Tamandua tetradactyla: one gene and its partners. The protein of the gene in region 1 interacts with the protein of each later gene in a biochemical or structural test. Links are inferred from orthologs where the notes say so. Each region holds a gene or a part of one and is shown on either strand. Other genes may lie near its edges. The genes, in order: ACTA1, GSN and vitamin D-binding protein-like.

Region 1 (7,253 bases):
CTACCAATGAGAAAAATAACTTCAGTTAACATTTTGGAATACAATGTAAAACATTTTGGACTATACATACATTTCATATTGTAACTTCCTTTTTTTTCATGTGAGAGATAATATTTTTGTGTATCCTTAATTCAGTGTTTCTCAACCTTTTTTAAATCCCCCTAAAGAGCCTTTTTAGAGTTTTTTCCTAATCCACTACTTCAGTGAAATTTTTACACTGTAGTCATGTACCATATCCTTTGGAGGGCCACAAACCATTGTAACATCTATGATTCTTTCCACCCCCTAAGAGGCAAGTTTTGCTGTTGGAGGCAATATCACCTCCTTTAAGAATGAATGTCTTAAAGGGATCTTTAAGATATGATATTTTAGTGACTCTGTGACACTACCATTTGTCTGTACCAGAATTTATCTAATAACTCTCAGTCTCTTTCCATCTCTTACTTGGGTTGTGGTGGTGTTCTTGTTTGCCATTTTAACGAATGCTAGAATAAGCAGATTGTTCTACAAAAATCATTATGCTCTACAAATACCTGTAAAATTTCATTGCTTCTCCTTGTTTAGTTTTGTGATGACAGTTATGTACCTTTGTGATGACAATTATGTACCATTCTAATAACTTTTAATATCCTTTGCTCACCTCTTCTAACACTTCACCCCTTGCACCTCTTCCAATGCTTAGTCATTGGAAGAAAGGCTACTGTTTATTGCAGGTTTCTCATGTCACAGGCACTCACCAAGTTTTAATCCTCCAATCAGTCCTTTGGAGGAGATGGCATCCTCAGGTGTGAATGTTGAGGTCAAATGCGCAAGGCCACCTGATTAGCGAGAAGGGGAGGTAACCCAGGTCTGCTTGACTCCAAAGTCCAAGCCTTTAACCAATACATTATACTGTGTGTAAAGATGGTTGGATGGGGGTGAGGGTAGGGGGCAAGACTCTTCCATTTGAACCATCAGGCCTTTAGAGCTGGCCAAAGTCAGAGCAAAGGCTAAAGTGAAGAAAACCATCAGCTTCAGGTGAAGGGTAAAAGTAGGAAATTCCAGTCCTCCCTTTCTGACTGCCATGAGTTACCTAAATTTTTAGATGTATACTTTTGTCGAGAATGAGTTTGTTTTTTTCCTTTATCTACCTGATACCTAGGATGTTTCGTGTAGTTGAGACAGTCAGCCCTCCTCACTGTTCTTTTTGAGATGATAGATTATAGTTGCTGGTGAAACTATGACTTTTCATTTCAAGATGGCTTCTGGCTCTTCATTGGAAAAGATCCCTTGAGAATGTTAGGGCTCCAAAACTCTGTCCCAAGTAGTATGGAAGAGTGAAATAAGACAGAAAACTGCCCCTGCCCTCCCCTGACCACTCCTAGTGGAAGGGCTGAGCTACCATCACAAGTCTTCGGTTCAAGCTCTGGCTCATCCACTTACTGGCTGTAGGATCCTTGGGCATGAGTTATTTAACTCATTTTGCCTCAGTTTTCTTATTTTTAAAACTGGAATGAATAGTGTCTACTTTATTTACCTTAAGATAGTTAAAAGGATTGATTAAAGTAACATGAAAGCATACTATAAACTTTTGTAAATTTATATTTAAATTGGTAAACACTACAAGAGAAGGCTTAGACCGAGCAACATTGGAGTACAGATAGATAAGGAATTGAGGGAGAATGTTGAAGGGAAGGGAGGTGTGACTATACCAGCTTAGCTATAGCACAAGCACCCTGTCAGATTATCAAGAGCTGAGGCTGCACCTGAAAATTTAGAAGCACAAGCTCTCTGTCAAGCATACTCTACATGGCTGACCTTTAGTTGGTGATAGTTCTCAAAAGGGTATGCAGGCAGTAACCAGCTTACTCAGACAAGAGCAGAGCACTGGTGTGTTCCCCAAAAGTGTACATGTATGGAGATGCAGCTTTTCCACATACTCAATAGCTCTGTTCCCTAAGCCAATGAGAATTCAACAAGACCAGAATGGAATTGAGAGCGGCCTTGTGGTGCTCCATTAGAGACTACTTAAGCCAGCATCGGTAATGTTGGGGCAGACAGCAATCGTCTGAATTGGCATTATCAGAGTCCATCTCCCCAAGGTTTGCTGTACTAGCAGATGTCCATTAGCTTGTGAATGTTTTATTCATAGTTGGTTCTTATTGTATATTTGTGTCTAATATACCCTGAGCTTAGAAAATCTTGCTTACAGGGGAGGTCAGAGTTGTACTGATGAAGAGTTTTGAAAACTATTGACAACCTATCCTTCTTTAAAACATCAACAAATCCTTAGTATCTGGTGAGTCAGAGCACATTTCTTCCTACCTTAAAGACCAAAATGAAAGCTATTACCCCAAATAGTACATACAGTGCATTTGCCAGGTTATTTTTACTGGTGTTTCCACTACCCACTGACACAGTAAGACACAAGGCATGAAAAATGAAATGTGTTTCTACCAATTATTCACTAACTCCACAATAATTGGAAAAGTTAAATATGAAACTACAGGAGCTTCTAACCACTGACTATATTTACTACATTGACCAATTCTAACCAAGCTCCTTTTTTTTTTAAAATTAATTTTGATCATTTTTAGGAAGAGCTATTGTGGTGTGGGTTACAGAGGAGGTTTACATATGCTTTTATATCCCTCTTAAGAGAATCCACACCTGTCCCAGTTGCTGAGTTCCACCACCAAATGTGAAATGCAACTATTTTGGGAACACTTAAGCACATCAGAAAAATGAATGATTCCATTTTGGCTGGCACCAGATCACTGATGTACCCCCTTAAAGCATGTCACTGAGTTCATCATAGAAAATTGTTTCTCCTGTGCCTTCTATAGCAAGGTTAGAACTGTCCTTGTTCCAGTGAGGGAAGGACGAAACATGTGAGACAGACACCAACTGGACAACCTGCTCTGACCTCCACACACCTTACCATAAGTAGACCCATATCCTTCTAGAAAATTTAAAAAGCATATCCCCATTTGTCAGTGGTATAAATAGAACCCACTTCAGCAGTCTCCAGTATATGGTGACTCTCCAAAGTGGACTGGAGAGCAGCCTGGCCTCAGCCAAGGTATCATCCTCTAAATATAAAGCTGAATTTGTTCAGCCTTTGCAGAAGGGGGGAAAAAGTACTATCCAAGAATTCAAAGTTAGAGTTTAGAGTTAGTAAGAACACCTCACCACCTATCTTTACCACTTCCAGACCTGGCGGATCGTGGGTTGTGACTCTTGTCTTTCAGCCCCAAGAGAGTTGCCAAGCAGAGGGTGGAAGGTGGCCCGCAGTTGAACCCACCCTCAGACTGGGGTCGGTCAGTGCTGGAGGAAGGGCACACCCCACCCTCCCGAATTCACCCCCCTTGGGACTACGCTAGTGTTCTGCCCCTTAGCGAGGCGGACAGCTCCGGATTTTGCGCCCCCGGCGACTGCCAGAATCACCCGACTGGGCCTGTCCCCGGGAGCCCCGGCGCCGCCTACACGCAGCTCCGCCCTCGCCTCCCCGCCGCCAGTTGTCCGTCCAGCAACAGCTGCACGCCTCCGGGCGCTGCTGTCCCGCTCCGCCATAGGGGAGGGGGGCGACTCGAATCTGTCCTCTGGATTTGGGGAGACCGGTGTGGGGGGGTGGGTGGATGAAGGGAGAAATGGAGTACACAGGTGCTGGAGAGGCATTTTCCAGTCTCCTGTCCTCCCAGCCCCACCTTTTCGACACCGCGCCCTCCTCTCGGTGTCAGCATATGAGGCTTTGGGGATCTGAATAAAGGAGCAGAAGAAAGGGTGAAATGTGGGAGGCAGGTAGTCAGTCCACCTCCGGGGCGCCTGATAGGACCAGAGTGGACAGGAGTGGGGAGGCCTTTCGGACAGGTGCAACTCCGGGAGGCGCAGACTCACACAGGCACCCGCGGGCGCACTGGGTGACCCTCACTCCACCCCATCCCCTCCAGCGGGCAACTCAGCCGGGTCGGGAGGGGCAGACCCGCCAGGGAGACACTCCATATACGGCCCGGCCCGCGTTACCTGGGCCTGGGCCAGGCCGCTCCTTCTTTGGTCAGCGCCGGGGACCCGGGCGGGGACCCAGGCCGCGAACCGGGCTGGGGGAGGGGGCTTTCGTGCCCAACACCCAAATATGGCTCGAGAAGGGGAGCGACATTCCTGCGGGCAGGCCCGGCGGGCGGCGCGGGGGGAGTGCCCGCGGGCTATATAAAACCTGAGCAGGCCCAGCCCGGCCACCGCAGCGGACAGCGCGAGAGAAGCCTCGCTTCCTCCCAGGGCCCGAGCCGGAGAGCAGCAGTTGTAGCCACCCGCCCAGGTAGGGCGGGGGTGGGGAGGGAGCCGCAGGGGGCGGGGACGGGCTGCCACCCAGGAGAGCGCGGTGATTCCCGGGCGGAAGACTGCCGGCTCACCTGAGTCCGAGGCCTGCGCCTGCCCTGCAGGCTGCACCTCCTCCCTAGAGCCACACGCGCTTTAAAGAAAAGTCAATTAGATAATCAAATGGCCTTTGGAACCCCTCCAAATTTATGGTCAGCCTCTTTGGGCCGCTGTACCTGGCTTTTAGGCTGTGCCGAGCTAGAGATAAAAGGTTCTACCTTAGTCGTCCCCAGGGCATGTCTCTCCCAACCAAGTGCCACAGCCAAGGGCAACAGGGTAGCTCTGCTCTGGGTTTGCCCACAGAGTGGAAAGGATCCCTTCCTGAGTCTGGAATATCGTGGATGCCCATAACAGGCCATCCCTCCCTGGACAAAGGGCCAAAGCGCCTTTACATGGTCCTCTCCACTCTTCCTCACATTCATCTAACAGGCAGCCTTAAATCTTTTGCTTGACAGATGAGGCAACTGAGGCAAGGGGAGGTTGGGCGGCTAGCAACTTGCTCTTGGAGCCGGCTGTTTCTTGGGAAGACGGGGAGGTCTCAGGACACAATTTCCCACCTGGGTGCCCGGGATGGAGGAATTCTCGGTGTGGTCTCGACACACCTGGGCCAATACCCTGGCAAAACGCAGCCCTGAGCCCCCCGAGGGCGAAAATCCGGTGGGGGCCCTTTTGGCCTCTTCCGGGGCGGGATGCGCGCAGTTCGGGGCTGAGTGGTGTCCCTGGGATCCGGGGGAAGGGAGGGTGCTCTGGCCGGGCCGAGTCTCACCTCCGCGCCACCAAATACTAAGCCGACGTGCCGTGCGTCCCAAAGATCTCCCTGTCCTTGCAGAAACCAGTCACCATGTGCGACGAAGACGAGACCACCGCCCTCGTGTGCGACAATGGCTCCGGTCTGGTGAAAGCCGGCTTCGCCGGCGACGACGCCCCTAGGGCCGTGTTCCCATCCATCGTGGGCCGCCCGCGTCACCAGGTCAGGCTCCCCACCCTGGTCCCAGCGCAGCCCGGCGCCGCCGCAGCCGGGTGAGCAGCCTTAACCGGTCGGTGGGTTCTCGGTTCCGCAGGGCGTCATGGTGGGTATGGGTCAGAAAGACTCCTACGTGGGCGACGAGGCTCAGAGCAAGCGAGGTATCCTGACCCTGAAGTACCCCATCGAGCACGGCATCATCACCAACTGGGACGACATGGAGAAGATCTGGCACCACACCTTCTACAATGAGCTCCGAGTGGCTCCCGAGGAGCACCCCACCCTGCTCACCGAGGCCCCCCTCAACCCCAAGGCCAACCGCGAGAAGATGACTCAGATCATGTTTGAGACCTTCAACGTGCCGGCCATGTACGTGGCCATCCAGGCCGTGCTGTCGCTCTACGCTTCCGGCCGTACCACCGGTGAGTGCGCGCCGGCTGGTGGTGGGGTGGGGGCTCCTCCCCACGCCCCGTGCCTCCCCTCCCACCCACCCCCTCATCCAAATACAGCTGCGCTGCCCGCAGCCCACGCACCGGCCAAGTGGAGACCTCTGCACCCGCCCCTTCCTTTCCACCCCCAGTCTAAAGCACCCAGGGCGTGCGTGCTCCGGTCGGAGGGGCCCCAGAGCCGGGTGTAGGGGCACCTAGAGGCTCCCCCAGCCCCGAGACACCAAAGGCCCCCCTCCCTGCCCAAACCTCAACCCCACCCACCCACCCCCAGCCCATCCCCCGCGCGGGATTCGGGTCTCACTTCCTGCTCCTTACTCCACTTCCCTCCCACTGCGCACAGGCATCGTGCTCGACTCCGGCGACGGTGTCACCCACAACGTGCCCATCTATGAGGGCTACGCCCTGCCTCACGCCATCATGCGCTTGGACCTGGCCGGGCGCGACCTCACGGACTACCTGATGAAAATCCTCACCGAGCGTGGCTATTCCTTCGTGACCACAGGTACGCGGCGCCCGGGGCACCTTCGAGGGGTGGGGAGGACCCGTGTGTGTGTGAAGACGCGGCGACCCTCCGCCAAGGGGTCACCTCCTGCCCCCGCCCCTGCCCCCCGCAGCTGAACGCGAGATCGTGCGCGACATCAAGGAGAAGCTGTGCTACGTGGCCCTGGATTTCGAGAACGAGATGGCTACAGCCGCCTCTTCCTCCTCCCTGGAGAAGAGCTACGAGCTGCCCGACGGGCAGGTCATCACCATCGGCAACGAGCGTTTCCGCTGCCCGGAGACGCTCTTCCAGCCTTCCTTCATCGGTGAGGGCCCCCTGCCGGCCCGGGCCAGCCCGGGCCGGGTCCTCTCCGCTCCCGCCCTCTCGGCGCGGTGCTCTTCCTCACGCTTTTCCTCCCGCCGCCCCCAGGCATGGAGTCCGCCGGCATCCATGAGACCACTTACAACAGCATCATGAAGTGCGATATCGACATCAGGAAGGACCTTTACGCCAACAATGTCATGTCCGGTGGCACCACCATGTACCCGGGTATCGCCGACCGCATGCAGAAGGAGATCACAGCTCTGGCTCCCAGCACCATGAAGATCAAGGTGCGCGGCGGGCGCGAGGCTTCCAAACCACGCAGTTCTCCCCAGCAGGCCCCCTGCGCCCGCCCCCCGCCGGCTGCGTGCTTCCTCGGCTCACCGCACACGCCCTTGTCTTTCAGATCATTGCCCCCCCAGAGCGCAAGTACTCGGTCTGGATCGGCGGCTCCATCCTGGCCTCCCTGTCCACCTTCCAGCAGATGTGGATCACCAAGCAGGAGTACGACGAGGCCGGCCCCTCCATCGTCCACCGCAAATGCTTCTAAACACAACACGCACATCTCCCGTGTGCTAATTCTCCTCAGGATGACAAGTCTGTTAAAAGTTTCAGGTGGCTGAACTCGAGCTACAGCCAAACATCTTTCTCTCGTAACAACTTCCGCTTAATATGGCTGCAAAAC
Region 2 (7,089 bases), about 120 Mb from region 1:
TGGGCACACCCAAGGTTAGAGATCAAGAGGTTCTCTGAGGTCCAGATATGGATAGGGGCTAGGAGACACTAGTGAGCTGGAAGCAGAGCCGGGTTGCTTCCCAAGTCCAGACCTAAGTACCCAGGAGTGATACAGAGCCACGGTCCATCCTCCACCCAGAGGCCACAGCCTGGGGATCTTCCTAGGACATACCTATATCTCGGGTACTTCTGTTAGCAGAGGGCTAGAGGGTTTTGCTGGTACAGGCTCCTGCTCCGGGCTGGGAGGTTGGGTGGGGATGGCCACTCAGAGATCCTGGCCACCAGGCTTGTCTTGAGCTTGACTGGTTTAGCAACTGCAACCCTTTACCTGGAAATGGCGCTGCTGTTCCCTACCCAGGCTGGATGGTTCCAGGAGCCCCTGCTTCCTCCTATCTCCTATTGATCTTCCCAGACCAAGCCTGGGCTCTGGAACCAATCAGGCTTGCATCTCAGCAATGCCTCTTTCCAGCTGAGTGATCCTGAACCTCAGTTTTCCTGTCTGTTAAATGGGAGCACTAATGCTGGGAGGAAAATATGAAAGGCACTGGCTTTGGTATTGAATCTCCCTCTCCTTTCTTTCCCGTGTTCTCCCAGAGATGGCTGGGCCCAGAGGTGAGGGAGCTTGTTACAACCTGTGCTTCTTTCAGCAGGTCTGAGGCCCTGAACTTTCTGATTTGGAAGGGTCTGTAGAGGTGACTTGGTCTGCCACCCCCATTTCATAGATGAGAACCCTAAGGCTCAGAAACATGCAGGTATTGACTACAGTTGCACAGTTAATACTCAGAGAACTGGGGCTAGGAATGTGACTTACAGAGTCACAGCATGGAGGCCCATACAGTCTGTTGTACATGAGACCCAGGGACCCAGAAAAGGGTTATGAATTGCCCAAAGCCACATAGGGAGTCAGTGACAGAGCCTGACCTAGCACTGGGGTCCCTTCCTTTCCATGTAGCGGCCTTTCTCTTATACTCTGATCCCCATCCCCCCTCCCCAACCTCTTAATCCTCTTCCAGGCAGGAAGCAAAGTAAGATCACATTTCCCCCACCATAGCCTCCATAGCATAGCATCTCTGCTGCCCTGTAAGCAGAGATCTCCAGGCTGTGGCTCCCAGAGGCAGGGACCGGGACCTGTTCCCCTGTTCTCTGATGCTGAGGGCCCAGGCTCCAGAACTCTGTGCAGGCCAAGCTGCAGGGCCTTTATGATCATTAACTTGGGGGTTGGTGACCCTGCCTCCGGGGTCAGTGACCCTGGGGCCCTGGGGCCAAGGCCAAGCCACAGCAGCCCTCTGTTAATCACCAACTGGCAGGCTGGGGCCACACTGCCCAAGAAGGGGCTGCTCAGCTGGGCCAGCTGCTGGCTCAGGTTCACTCTGTGGATTGGGATGACAAGGAAGTTTCTTCTTCCTACTTGCATGGACGTGTAAGATGGTCTCATAAAGGCATTACTTAACGTATATTTTTCAAATGTTTTGTTTCCATATAGTGCTTTATTATTTCAAAAAGCGCACACTGGCTACATACTTACTACGGGTGTAAAAAATTGAGGTATAATTTACTTAGCATGAAATTTTGCCCATTATAAGCATATAGTTCTATGACTTTTAGTAGATTTAATCAGTTGTGCAGTCATCACCATAATTCAGTGTTAGAATATTTTCATCATCCTGCAAGTTTCCCACACTGTTTACCCCAAACCTTAGGCAAACACAGCAATGTTTAAAGGGTGAAATTCTCTCCCTTTATCACTTTTAAGCAACCTTCCTTAACAGTTTGGTGTTGACCCTTCCTTGACATTTTTTATAAAAAAGAGGAGGAGTCATATCATAAACATTATTGTACAATTTGCATTTTGCACTTACAGATCTTTCTGTGTTTGTTGAGTGCCTACTATGTGCCAGGCACAATCAGATCTAACCCATTCGTTCTTCACAGCGGCATAGTGGTCCATTGTACGACAGCTTCATTATTTATTTAACCAGGACACTTGGGTCCTTTCCAGTTTTCTTCAAACAATGCTTCAGTGAGCATCCTTGTTTATATATCTTTTTGTTTGTCAGTAAGTCATTCTGTAGGAAGTGGAACTGTTGTTGCATTGTGGTTTACATTTGGGTGGGTAGAGTCAAATTACTATGCAGTTTATGCTTCTACCAAGAGCATATGAGAGCTGTGGGATTTTTATAATCCTCCAAGTGGCTGGGGGGAGAGAGGAGCTCTCTAAATTTAGGCCAGAGCTGGCCCACTGCAGCCTCTGCAGGACCAGGCTGGCATACCAGGATGCTGAGCCCTGGAGAACTGAGGTTTCTCTCTGTGGCCCCCCCCACAGACACCAGGCTAAAGGTCAGATGCTTGGGTGTGGCAGTAAAGGTCCTGGGACCCCTGCCCCCTTCCCCTCCAGCCTCATCTTCTCTGGCTTCGCCTGTTTCAGGTGGGACCACTCATTGACTGACTGTGGCCTGCATTTGCTTGCTCTTTGCCCCTACTGTTCCCTCCCCTTGAATGCCTTTTCTTCTCAATCTCCATATGTCAGAAATCTCCCTGTCCTTCAGGGTCCAGGTCAACAGTCGTTTATTCAGTGAAGCCTTCCTTTTTCCCTGCAGTGTGAATTGTCTTCTCTCTCTGATTTTTATCTGACCCACAGATAAAAAAAGTCATAGAACTATGGGGCTTTTATCTGACCCACATTCCCCCTTAAGTGGAAGGATGTAGTGGGCAGTGAGGGACAAATTTCAGCCTGATTTAATGGAAGCTGGACTCGAGGAGGAGCTGGGATGGGTGAGGAGCTTGTGGGAGACGGGGAGGGGAATTCCCATTTATCTAGGTGTAGGCCAGACCATTTTCACACACAGACTCATTTTAATCCTTAGCACTGACTAGACCCATTTAGTAGATGAGAAGACTGAGGCATAAAAAGAGGAACTAATTTAGGCATTGTCACACAGCCAAAGAGAGGTGGAGGTGAGAACCATACCCAGGTCTCTGACTCCCCAGTTCCCTTTCCTGTCACTGCACCAGGCTGCTTGGGGATGTGGGGAGAGTCTAAGATGCAAAGAACTTAGCTATCAGAATTTGGGTGGCAGAGTAGGGGAAGGGAGAAGAGAGGGCCTGGTGAAGGTGGGAAGTGGGCCTAGGTGAGGGCATAGGACTGCTAACCCACAACACTTTCTGACCCCCAAGGGTAGTTAATAGGTAGCATCTAAGAAAACCTCTAAGCAAGTGAACTTATCATTTGGAGACATAAAGGTAAATACCGAATCATTAGCTAAAGGAGGGAGAAGTGTTTGTCTCTAGCCAGAGGTAAATGGGGCACAACTTTGTACAAATATGTGACTTTAAGTTTCGATAACAATAAATTTTTTTTTTTTTGAAGGAGGGAAAGATAGGGCATCTTCAGTAAAGTAGAAAGAACCAGCAAACCCAGAAGCTGAGGGTTGGCTTCTGGTTTCTGAGTCTTGCTTTTTTCACTTGTTTCATCCTAGCTGGTAGCAGTGCATGCTGCCCAGGTGGGGTTCCACCCAGTCACAGTGTCTGGGTTCAAATCCTGTCTGTACCATTTACCAGTTGCTGCAATTTCCTTATTCAGCCTCCTTGCTGCTGTTCCCTCAGCTGCAAAATGGGGCTGACAGTTATCCCCTCTGTTCGGGCAGTTATGATGTGTTAGTGGAAAGCTTTCCAGTGTTGTTAGATCATCCCATTTTCTGGAGACGGGAGCGGGCTTGTCACACAGTAGAACGAGGCTGCGCTCCCTTCCATTCGCACTAGCACCCATTCAGCGATCACTGAGTTAGCGACCGCTGTATACCAGACCCGGTGTGGGCCCATGTGCAGGGCGGCCGCACCCGGCTAGCTGGATCTGTCCGGGTGGGAACCCCGAAGTCTCTGAGATCCGGGTCAGATCCCCGCCCCTCCCGGGCTCCCGGGAGCCTAGCCCTGCCCCGCACCTCCCTGCGGGGCGGTCCTCGGCTTGGGCGGGCTGGGCGGGCTGGGCGGGCGGCTACTTAAGGCTGGTGACCCCGAGGCCGCGGCTGCCGACTCGGTCCTCTGCAGCCGTCGCCGCTATGGCTCCGCGCTGCTCCGCGCCGGCGCTGCTCGGCGCGCTGGTCCTGGCGCTGTGCGCGCTGTCACCGCCGGTCCGTGGGGCCACCGCGCCGCGCAGGGCGTCTCAGGGGCGGGCGCCCCAGGGGCCGGTGCCCCAGGCGCGGGTGAGTGCCCGGGGGGCCCGGGGGCTCCCGGAGTAACTCTCTGTTGTAAGTTCTTGCAGATACAGCGCTAGGAAAAGGGGAGTAATTCAGGTCTAGAATGGAAAAACTGTTTTGTTGCTTTGTAAGTATTGCCTGCTGCTTCGCCGCGGAGGGGGGTGGGAGCCTCGTGGACCCTGGCTGTTTCGCTCCCTACAGGCTAACTTCACCTTGGCCGGATTTCGTTTCCCTCTCCCTCTCTGATTTCTCCTCTCTCTTCGCTGCCTGATTTCTTCGCTTCCTTTTCTAATTTCTCCTCCCGTCTTCATCATTTTTCCTCTTTCCTGATTTTCTCCTTTCCTCTTCTGATTTCTTCTTCCTCCTCAGATTCCTCCTTCTCCTCTCATTTCTCTCTCCCTCTCCAAAATTCCCTTCCTCTTTCTTATAGGGCATCACCTCTATCTATCATTATTACTATTATTTATTCTCTTCTCTCTCTCATTTCTCCTCTGTCCCGTCTGATTTCTGGTTTCTCTGGCATCTCTCCTTTGATGTTTCCCCCCACCAGCTCTCTCCTCCAGTCCTAGCTGACCTGTGCCTGTAGACTTCTAGCCTCCGGCTACAGCCTAACCCTCCTGTCCCCATTCTCTTGCCCTGTGCATGTCCGGCAGCCTTTCCCCCTCCAACAGGCTCCTGCAGACCCCGCTGCGTCCTCTCCGCCTTTTCCAAGGAATGGAATTGGGGGGTGGGTTGTGGGGGGCAGGAGGGAGGAGGCAGACAGCGCGGAGGCCACTTGGGCTCAGCTATCTCAGTCTATAGGGGGATGGATGGGTCATGGGAACTCTTCCCCTCCCAAAGCAAAAGCAAACAGGCTGTGTGACCTTGGGTCAGTCCCCAACCCTCACTGGGCCTCAGTTACCCCACCTGTGGGGGGGCAGGATTGGATTGTGAGCTCTCGGAGGGCCCCTTCCAGTTCTAAGAGCCACTGAGGATCCTGGAGGGGAGCAGACAGAGCCCCTGGGGGCCCCAGATTTACCGTTGCCATCTGAGGGGTCTCCCCATGGTCCCAGAGCCCATGCTCTTGGAGCCTGGGACAGTTCCTTCTGTGACATCTCCTAGGTGGGGGTCCCTAACAGAGTCACTTCACCTCTCTGTCCCTTCACATCCAACTGGCAATAAGAAGGGAGGGGGAAAAGGGGGAGTCATCTGTCCCCCCATCACAGTGGAAAGGACCAGGAGCTGAGCTGGGGGAGACAGACACTGGCCAAAGCACAGGGTTTGGAGCAAACCCTCCACCCTACTTGCTAACTCATCGAGACAGGTGGACTTAGAAGGGGAGGTGGGGAGTGACAGAGGCTCAAGTGAGAAGCTCTTGGTGCTGGAAACCACCCTCCCTCATGCCCCGGGGTCTGCTGAGCACTGTCCTGGCTCCTGCTCAGGCTCTGCCTTGTCTCTTCTTCAGCCCAGCAGCATGGTGGTGGAACACCCTGAGTTCCTCAAGGCGGGCAAGGAGCCTGGCCTGCAGATCTGGCGAGTGGAGAAGTTTGACCTGGTGCCCGTGCCCCGCAACCTTTATGGAGACTTCTTCACAGGTGATGCCTATGTCGTCCTGAACACAGTGCAGCTGAGGAATGGGAATCTGCAGTACGACCTCCACTACTGGCTGGGTGAGACCCTCCCCTGCCCCATTCCCCCTACTCTGTAAAGCACAGACCTTGAGGTATGGTCTCTGAGAAGAACCCAAGGAAGCTAACTGATTACTGAGTACCAAGTATGTGCCAGACCTTGGGGTTACACACCCAGTCTCTAGAACCAGCCTGTTTGAGCTCAAAGCCCAGCTCTGTCCCTTACCCACCCTCTGCCCTTTGGTGAGCCACTCAGTGTCTCTAAACTGGGCATGATGATAGCACTGCACCTACCTAATAGGAGTGTTGTTAGGGTTAAGTGAAATTCTCTGTCACTCAGAAATTTGGGTGACTCCAAGACCCTGGACCCCTTCCGCTACTTCCCTGGCCTAGAGTCCTTCAGAACCTGGAGCCTGGAGTCCCTACTGCTGCTCTGTTAGGTAATTCCCCCACATAGTGTTTCAGTTTGCTCATCTGTGAAACGTACTCATGCACCCAGTCCTAACTTCATGCTGTAGAGCATCAAGAGTCTGGTATGAGAGTTGAGTATAGGGAAAGCCTCAGAGCTGGGAAGAGACAGAGATCTCCCCTACTACACAGGTGGATTAACTCAAACTCACAGAAGGCAGGGGCTTTCCTAGCTTCAGCAGCCAGGCCAGGACAGTGTTAGGGTTCTGAACTCTCCCCTCCCCCGGGGGGTTTGGGACCACTTACAGGAAGCCAGGGTCATACTGTTCCAACACCCCCTAGGCAATGAGTGCAGCCAGGATGAGAGTGGGGCGGCCGCCATCTTCACTGTGCAGCTGGATGACTACCTGAATGGCCGCGCCATACAGCACCGTGAGGTCCAGGGCTTCGAGTCGGCCACCTTCCTCGGTTACTTCAAGTCTGGCCTCAAGTACAAGGTGGGTTGGGCCCTCCCTTGCATGGTGCCAGAGACAGGGACACCGATGGTGAATGTCTGCTAGTCACCAGCTAGTCTTTGGGCTTTGATTGCAGATGGGTCAGACCCCAGGCTCCAGAGCTGTCCAGTCCTGGGTCTGAATCCTGGCCCAGGGCTAGCTGTGTGACCTTGGACAAATCATACTTTCTCTCTTGGGTTCTTCTCTTGGGTTCCTTATCTTAAAATGGGGAGAAGAAAATTCCCATAACTTCATAGGGTTGTTTTCCCAGCTCCAGGGCCTGCCGGTCCAAGAGCTTTGAGCCCAGTTCTGCTCCTAACCTGAGGTTAGGGCCCTGCTAGCTGAGGGCCCTGTGTTGGATCTTTGA
Region 3 (7,823 bases), on another chromosome or scaffold:
TTCAGTAAAGTATGTTGCAAACAGATGTGCTGTCATTCAGGTTTTGTTGTTCCATTTATAGAGCACAGGCAGAGTAGATTTAGCATGATTCTTAAAGGCCCTAGGATTCTCCTAATGGTAAGTGAGCACTGGCTTCAACTTAAAGTGACCAGCTGCATTAACCTCTAATAAGAAAGTCAAACTGTACTATGAAGCTTTGAACCAGTTGACTTGTCTTTAGCCTTGAAAACCATGGATGGTATCTTCTTCCAGCAGAAGGCTCTTTTGTCTACATTGAAAATCTGTTGTTTAGTGTAGACACCTTTGGCAATTATCTAAGCTACATGTTCTGGATTACTTGCTGCAGCTTCTACATCAGCTTTGTTTCTTCACCTTGTACTTTTATGCTATGGAGACAGCTTTTTTTCCTTAAACGTCATGAACTAGACATCTGCTAACTTCCAACTTTTCTTCTGCAGCTTCCTTATCTCTCTCATTCTTCCTAGATTTGAAGAGAATTAGGGCTTTGTTCTGGACAAGATTTTGGTTTAAGGGAAGTTGTGACTGGTTTGATCTTCTACCCAGACCATTAAAACTTTCTCCATATCAGCAGTCTATTTCACTTTCTTATCATTTATGTATTCACCGGAGTAGCTATTTTGATTTCCTTCAAAACCTTTTCCCTTGCCTTCAAAATTTGGCTACATGGTACAAGAGGCCTATCTCAGCTTTTAACATGACTTCTTCACTAAATGTGGTGGTTTGAAGCTGTAGGTACTGCAGAAAAATGTGTTCTTAAATTTAATCCATTTTTGTGAGTGTGCATTATAGGTAGGACCATTTAACAAGACTATTTTAGATAAGGTGTGACTCAACTCATTTAAGATAGGTCTTGATCCTATTACTAGAGTCCTTTTATAAACATAATGAATATAGAGTGAAAGAGAAAGCCATGGACACATGAACCTGAAAGCAATGAAATCCAGAGAAGAAGGAAGAGATCAACAGATGCCACCATGTGGCTTGCCATGTGCTAGAGGAGTCAAGAATTGCTGGTAGCCTGTTTTGGGGAAGAAATTGTCACCTTGATGATGCCTTGATTTGGACATTTTCTTGGACTCTAACCATAAACAAATAAATTTCCACTGCTTTAGCCAACCTATTTTATGGTAAAGCATAGGAAACTAAAACATTACACTTAATCATTTCTAGTTTTTTATTTAAAATGAGAGATATATGACTCTTTTTTTTTACTTGAATATTTAAAAGCCATTATAGGATTATTAACTAGCCTAATTTCAATACTGTTGTGTCTCAAGGAATAGGGAGCCTGAGGAGAGGTAAAGAGATTGGAGGAATGGCCAGTCAGAGGAGCAGTCAGAAGATACACATTTATGGATTAAGTTTGTTGTCTTATAAGATCATGTCATGGGACCACAAAACAATTGCTATAGTAATATTAAAGATCACGAATCACAAATTACCATCACAGAGATAACAATATTGAAGAAGTCTGAAATACTGCAAGAATTCCCAAAATGTGACACAGAGACACAAAGTGAGCATGTGCTGTTGGAAAAATAGCACCAGTAAACTTGCTTGTCACAGAGTTGCCACAAACTTTTAATTTATAAAAGATGCAGAATTTGTGAAGCACAATATAATGAATTATACTTGTATCTCAGATAACTAATGATGGCAACAGAGGGTAAAATGATCTAAAGCCATGTTAGTTAGGATGCTTTTAATTGCAAGAGACAGAAATTCAACTTAAATAAACTTAAGCAAAAAGGGATATTTATTTTAAGAATATTGAAATTTCTTATGATGTCAAGAATAGAAAATGGCTGGGCTACACAAATACCCTGAAATTTGGATTGTCCTCAGCTCCTCTCTTCATGTCAACTCTAAGGATATTACACAAGTTACTAACCTCAATTTCCTCAGTCAGTGGAAAATAGAGAATAAAGTGTAATCATAAAGAGAATCTGGATGAAGAAAATAATCTGACAAATGAAATCATTTAAAAAAATCATTTCTGTTGGAGTACTGTGTTTAACCATCCTGTAGCACAATGAAAATGTTAAAGATATTGGTTTGGTAAGGAGGGTGAAAACTGAGAGATACCAAAATTAGAAAAATATGATTGGGGAGAGAGCTAAAGATGGATTTCTGCTTCACAATTTTGCCTAGAACTAACCTTGTTTAGGGTTATAATTCCTCTGAAACCTATGTTGAGATGGAAAAAAAAGAGAGAGACTATTTCAAATTCAGTTCTTTATGGGCAAAACAGCTCCTATTCAATTCCACGGCATAGTTAAATCTTCAATGGTTATCTCTTTTTAAAACTATTTCTGGAATAAATTTCTGAATTGCTGTAGCTGCTGCTATAACAGAGGCTATTAGAAGTTGATGTTTTTCATCCATTTTTTTCCCCATCTGACTTACTGTGGGAATCATATGGCACAAGATGCTTCTCATCTAGGCCACTGATGATTATTTCTTCTTAGTTTTAAAATTGCCATAAGCAATCAACATTTGAAAGCTTACAGGGAGTTACATAAATAAGACTGAGAAAAGATTAATCTATTTAGCTACTAGCATGTTAGTGCCAATTTTCACTTAAAATGAAACTCAGCCAAGAGAATAGATTTGGGAGTTTTTGTAGAGATTTCTCAAGAGAACACCTGAATGAGATGTTGCAATTCTTGCCACATGTAGTTTATCATTAAACAAAAGTGAAAGATGTTATTGCAAAAGCAGAGATAAAGTTATAATTTTTTAAAAAATTACATAACAGCCTGGTCAAACTATAGCAAAAATCATGGGAAACGATCCAAGTGTATCTTTGAATGAACTGATCATCAGAAAATGACAATACAATAATGCTAAATTTTAAAAAGATACAAAAGTATATAAACCAAATTATCTTAAATAAAAATGGAAGCTATAGAAATATACTAACATATTAGTTCTTCTTTCTGCATTCTGGCATTCTTAATACTTTTAGAAACTTTTTTGCACTCATTTAGAGCTTCGTTTCCAAATAATTTGCTGTAAGCATAAAACACATTTTTAAAAATTAACTTGCAAAATCAAGTAAGAGTTAGGATCAAGGGAAAAAAAAGTTAAGAAGATTTTCAGTAAGCACTAAGGAGGTATAATAGATCTTTGAACAGGAAACCTGTCTTCTCATATTGCCTATAGCAATGCTTATAGGAACTTCTAATCTCTTTTACCATATGGATTTCTATAGGCCTCATGGAGATAGCTTTGCTTTGATCTATTTAGCTATCATTTTTCTACAAACTTGATTGTACTTTTTGAACCTAACATCCCAAGTATTTTCAATATAAATGGAGGATCTCTGAAAATGTAACTGCTTAAGGCTGTTTAAGATTTTAATGGAAACTTCTTATGCAGTTACTCTTTGGCTCCTGAATTAATAGTGGAATTCTAGATCACTGATCTCTGATGGTTCTAAACCTAGGACACAGGGCTGGCTTTTGAATCTTTCATTGCTTTGCAGGCCTCAGTAGTTCCAATGAGCTCCTCAGATACCATTATAAATTTGGAGAATAAGTGCGGAGAAATGGCAACAACTAGAAAAATAATAGGTAACATCAGTGAAGTCACCCTGACTTAGATGTACAGTTAGCTCTGTGCATGGATTATCTCAATTAAATTCACAACAATCTGTGTCTGTGATACAGGCATTAAAAGTTATCATCACTTTGCATATGTGTAAAGTGAGGCTTAGAGAGGTAAAATAAATTTCCCAAGATTCCACAACCAGTAAGAGCTGAACAGGGATTTGCACTTAGGTAGGCCTGATTCTAGTCCCTGTATACCTAACCCTTACTTGACCCTGCTTCCTGAAAAGAGAGCTGGACAAGAAAGCAGCTGACCTGATTCTGATGAATGATGATTACCTGTGTCTCTCTAGGCAAGTCAGAGACTTTACTTGGGGCTCAGTTTCCTCTTCTGTAAAGTACAGACGTTAGATTCCAAGTCCTGCAAGGACACCATGAGCTTTTAAGTTATATTATCCTAAAACACACTGGTTGTATAGTACCAGTAAAAACAGGTTTAGACTAGGTACTAGGAGTCCAAGATTTGCCACTAACTTTTGTGATTCAGGGAAAGTTATTTATTTTCTCCAGTTACTATTTGCCTTACTTCAAGGGTTATGTTAGGCAATACATATGTTAGTGCTTCAAAAAGTATAATGTGGAATATAAATATAAAATGTTTTCCTATTATCGCCAGTAAAATTGTTTTGTAACATTAATATTACAGATTTGAGGAATTATGTTGAATTGACTTCTCACTCATCTTTTTTCCCCTTATTGCTTAAAACATCTGGTTTTAAATAAAATAACACTTATTTGTAGAAAGTTTAAACAAAGTGAAAGAGACAGAGAGAAAGAGAAAGACAAAGAGAAAGAAAGAGAAAGAGATAACCTCCAATTTTCTATTTATACATGAGAAGGGCAGGGAATGCCCATAGAAGACACATAACCCTATAAAGAGGAACAAATGTACCACTTACTATTACTTTAAAAAATTTCAGTCAAAAGAAGCTGTGGAAAATAATCTATGTATGTTCTGGTTCTTTCAGAGTACAACAAAGTTAATGATTAAAATCTGCTGAATTTTCCATTACATTATACCCAGGGTGTCTGTTTGCCTTGATTGATGATATTATTTTATCTCTTGTGGGCCAAGGATGACTGCCCCTTGCTTCTGTGTAAAGATTAATAATTGATTAGCTCAGAGTTGGGAATCCTAGTAAGAGAAAACTAATTGCTCTTTGCTGCTGTCTTTCACACGGTAACCCCACAGGAGTCAGGCAGTGCTTCAGGACTCACCAGCAGGAAAATGAAGGGGCTTCTGGTTCTCCTGCTTGCTGTAGGCTTTGGGCATGCTATAGAGAGAGGTAAGACCTCCAGTATCATGATCAGTTATCAGAGCTTTTCTTAGTCCAATATTGTGTTAACATAAAAAAATTACGTAAAAGCTGACAGACAGAAGAATTGGTGAATATGCTGAGGAGAGAGAGAAGGATTATAGAGGGCTTGATCTGAGTTAAGCTGTGCCATATGGCATTGAATTGGAAGAGAAAAGAAAATCAGGATAAGAATCTCATGAAAGAGAAAAAGGAAGTATAAAGTTTGTTAATTATCCCTTCTCCTTTATTTGGTAAACAAGCACTGAAAAAGAATGGGTTAAAGTTTGAACAATCTTTTTTTTTTTTTTCCATGGGCAGGCACTGGGAATCCAACCCAGGTCTCTGGCTGCTGAGCCACCATGGCCCGCCCTGACCAATTTTCAATTTTTAAATGTTAAAAGATAATACAGGGCGGGCCGCGGTGGCTCAGCGGGCAAAGTGCTTGCCTGCTATGCCGAAGGACCTCGGTTCGATTCCCGGCCCCAGCCCATGTAACGAAAACGGAGAAACAAAATACAATAAAAAACAAGAAAATGTTTAAAAGATGTTTCCCTTTCTTCCTCTCTTCCTTCCTTCTATCCTTCCTTCCTTCTCTCTGTCTTTCCTTTAAAAAAAAAAAAAAAAAAAAAAAAAAAAAAAAAAAAGATAATACAAAGGGAGACTGTGATCCAATACTGAGCATTTTTCAAATATTTATTGCCATTAAAAGTATAATAACTGTGTCGATGATGCATGAAGTGAACTAAAGCTCTATTTTTTTATCCTCTTTGAAGAATCTTATACATGCAGTCCTTGAAAAAAGCATTACAGTTTCTAAAACACTTCCAAATAAATTAGAATTTTCTATAACTAAGAAACACAACAAAAAATAAGATAATTGTTTTTCATTGAAATTATTCTTCAAATGTTGGCTTCATCTTTGGACAATGTTTAAAAGCTTTTTAAAGTGATATGTATGGAAATTATGTAAAGTACACAACTTTTAAATTTTGTAGCTTTGGATTTTCCATTCTGTTTTATCTTTTAATGTTTGTAAGGGAATCTGCATTCATCATGCTTTGTAAAATTAAAATTTTCATTTGATGCTGAGTGTCTCACCCAAGTCATACTGAGTATTCATACCAGTAATGTGTTTAACCAATGGAATAAATATTATGTATCCCAAGAATTATTTCTCATTAATAGGTCCTGAACAACCTTACTCCTCATTTTTTCCAATTCTTTTTTGTAATCACTTTTTCTTGTTCTTATTTTGGCCATTCAAATGATTTTAAATTTTCTTTTCCTCATCTACAAATCCTTAAGTAAGACTATGAGGAATTTCTGAGATATAGTGAGGTATGAATTTCTGAGATATAGTGAGGTATGAATAAGTCCTGAGAAACCTGGAAAGCTCAGTTTTTGTCCAAGGTTTCCCTGGGGCATATCTGAATCCGAAAAATCTTACTGAAACACTTTGAGATCAGGATTTTTAAATACAGAAATTCCAAAAATGGCTAGTCCTTGGAATTAAACGTGGAGGCCATAACCTGGAACATGATTCATCATTTTACACTGCTGACTCAGTAAGTGTGCATTAGCCTCACCTCAAGAAATTACAGTGTCTTTTGAAAATTAACAAAATATTCTACAACTTCAATTTGGATATCTTTCAGCAGTTCCTCAGACCCTGGTGAAATGGATGCTAAGAAATTCAGTTCTGCTTCTTTGAAATTCTGAATTTCACAATGAACTTCAGTCAGATTACCCAGATGTATAGGTCATATATCCCCTGAGACATATAAAATAATTTGTAATTAATAAGTATCCAATACCTGAGACACTGGTCTTCTATTCTGTAACACCTGACCATGTCCCAAAGAGCAATGAAGCTCCATCTGACCAAGTCAGCAATTAACTGGAAGATAAGTGTGTTCTCTCCTGGCAGCAATGCTCATATTCTTTTACTTTGCCACAGAGCAGCCACCTGAAAGCTATGAAATACATGTATTAGAGAAGTTCAGGAATTATGTTCAGGGGAGCCTTGGATAGTGGAAAATTGATTAGGGTTATAGTACTTTCTACGATAGAAAGTTACAGTTCTAAAGAGCTGACCATCAACCGTTTTTTTCTAGAACACTTTTCCAAAAGTGTATTTCAAAGTATATATTTTTAAGACTCATCTTGAAAAAAAGCGCAGTTTCCTGCATTTGGCTTCTTTCTCTGTGGCTGAAATGGATGTAACACTAATCTACTAAATCATGTCTTTCCCTCTTCCAGCTCCCCACCCCTAAAGCAGCACAGATTACTAAGACAGCTGCGCAATTACCAAAAAAAATGCCAACAGAAAATAAACCATTACAGTTTGTCAGGACTCTTGATAAGAACAATATTATTTTGTGAACATTTACCTTTCAGCTTTAAGCTTTTCGTTTCCAGCATACGTATATATTTACTGGACTTGATAACAAACAGCAAGAAGAAAGAAAGTCGCCTTTGAGTGGGTGGGTGAGCTATATTTTTCTGTCTCCCACTTTCTTGTTAAAACAGCCCTAGACAATGAGGTTATTCCAATCCCCTAAACCACCACTGAATCACTCTGTTTCTGTTTTACAAGTGGCCTCTTTATCAGTAATAATTTAACAACAAAATTGTCCTAAGTTTGATCCAGGAGTATAGCTGTACAGAATGCCAGAGTGAAATAATCAAGGATAGATACTCTCTCTATTTTCCCAGATAAAGACATCTCCGTATCCTGTCAGCTAAACTTACATATTACAAAATTAGGAATTTATACAGGATTTGAGATCAATGTGATAAAAAGGAGATAGCTCTGAAAAGACCTAGACATATGTTTCAAGGTGAAGGAACTCAGGTGCAAAAGTCCTGACTAGGAACAAGCTGGGCCTGGTCC

Evidence for each region.
Region 2: the proteins of ACTA1 (region 1) and GSN are reported together in a solved structure, tested with the Homo sapiens proteins (3 studies listed by BioGRID and IntAct). The link is inferred for Tamandua tetradactyla from reciprocal best matches to the Homo sapiens genes ACTA1 and GSN.
Region 3: the proteins of ACTA1 (region 1) and vitamin D-binding protein-like are reported together in a solved structure, tested with the Homo sapiens proteins (2 studies listed by BioGRID and IntAct). The link is inferred for Tamandua tetradactyla from reciprocal best matches to the Homo sapiens genes ACTA1 and GC.

What each region holds. Positions count from the first base shown.
Region 1 is NC_135328.1:153,789,641-153,796,893, reverse strand, and holds the start of ACTA1 (actin, alpha skeletal muscle), read left to right. Parts: upstream 1-4,161; 5' UTR 4,162-4,294; intron 4,295-5,182; 5' UTR 5,183-5,194; coding exon 5,195-5,323; intron 5,324-5,414; coding exon 5,415-5,739; intron 5,740-6,106; coding exon 6,107-6,268; intron 6,269-6,380; coding exon 6,381-6,572; intron 6,573-6,676; coding exon 6,677-6,858; intron 6,859-6,974; coding exon 6,975-7,118; 3' UTR 7,119-7,253. UniProt on the Homo sapiens protein: Actins are highly conserved proteins that are involved in various types of cell motility and are ubiquitously expressed in all eukaryotic cells.
Region 2 is NC_135328.1:36,066,573-36,073,661, reverse strand, and holds the start of GSN (gelsolin), read left to right. Parts: upstream 1-4,060; 5' UTR 4,061-4,075; coding exon 4,076-4,219; intron 4,220-4,301; exon of another isoform or gene 4,302-4,316; coding exon of another isoform or gene 4,317-4,340; intron 4,341-5,657; coding exon 5,658-5,862; intron 5,863-6,570; coding exon 6,571-6,725; intron 6,726-7,089. UniProt on the Homo sapiens protein: Calcium-regulated, actin-modulating protein that binds to the plus (or barbed) ends of actin monomers or filaments, preventing monomer exchange (end-blocking or capping).
Region 3 is NC_135345.1:72,853,909-72,861,731, reverse strand, and holds the start of vitamin D-binding protein-like, read left to right. Parts: upstream 1-4,733; 5' UTR 4,734-4,860; coding exon 4,861-4,918; intron 4,919-7,823. UniProt on the Homo sapiens protein: Involved in vitamin D transport and storage, scavenging of extracellular G-actin, enhancement of the chemotactic activity of C5 alpha for neutrophils in inflammation and macrophage activation.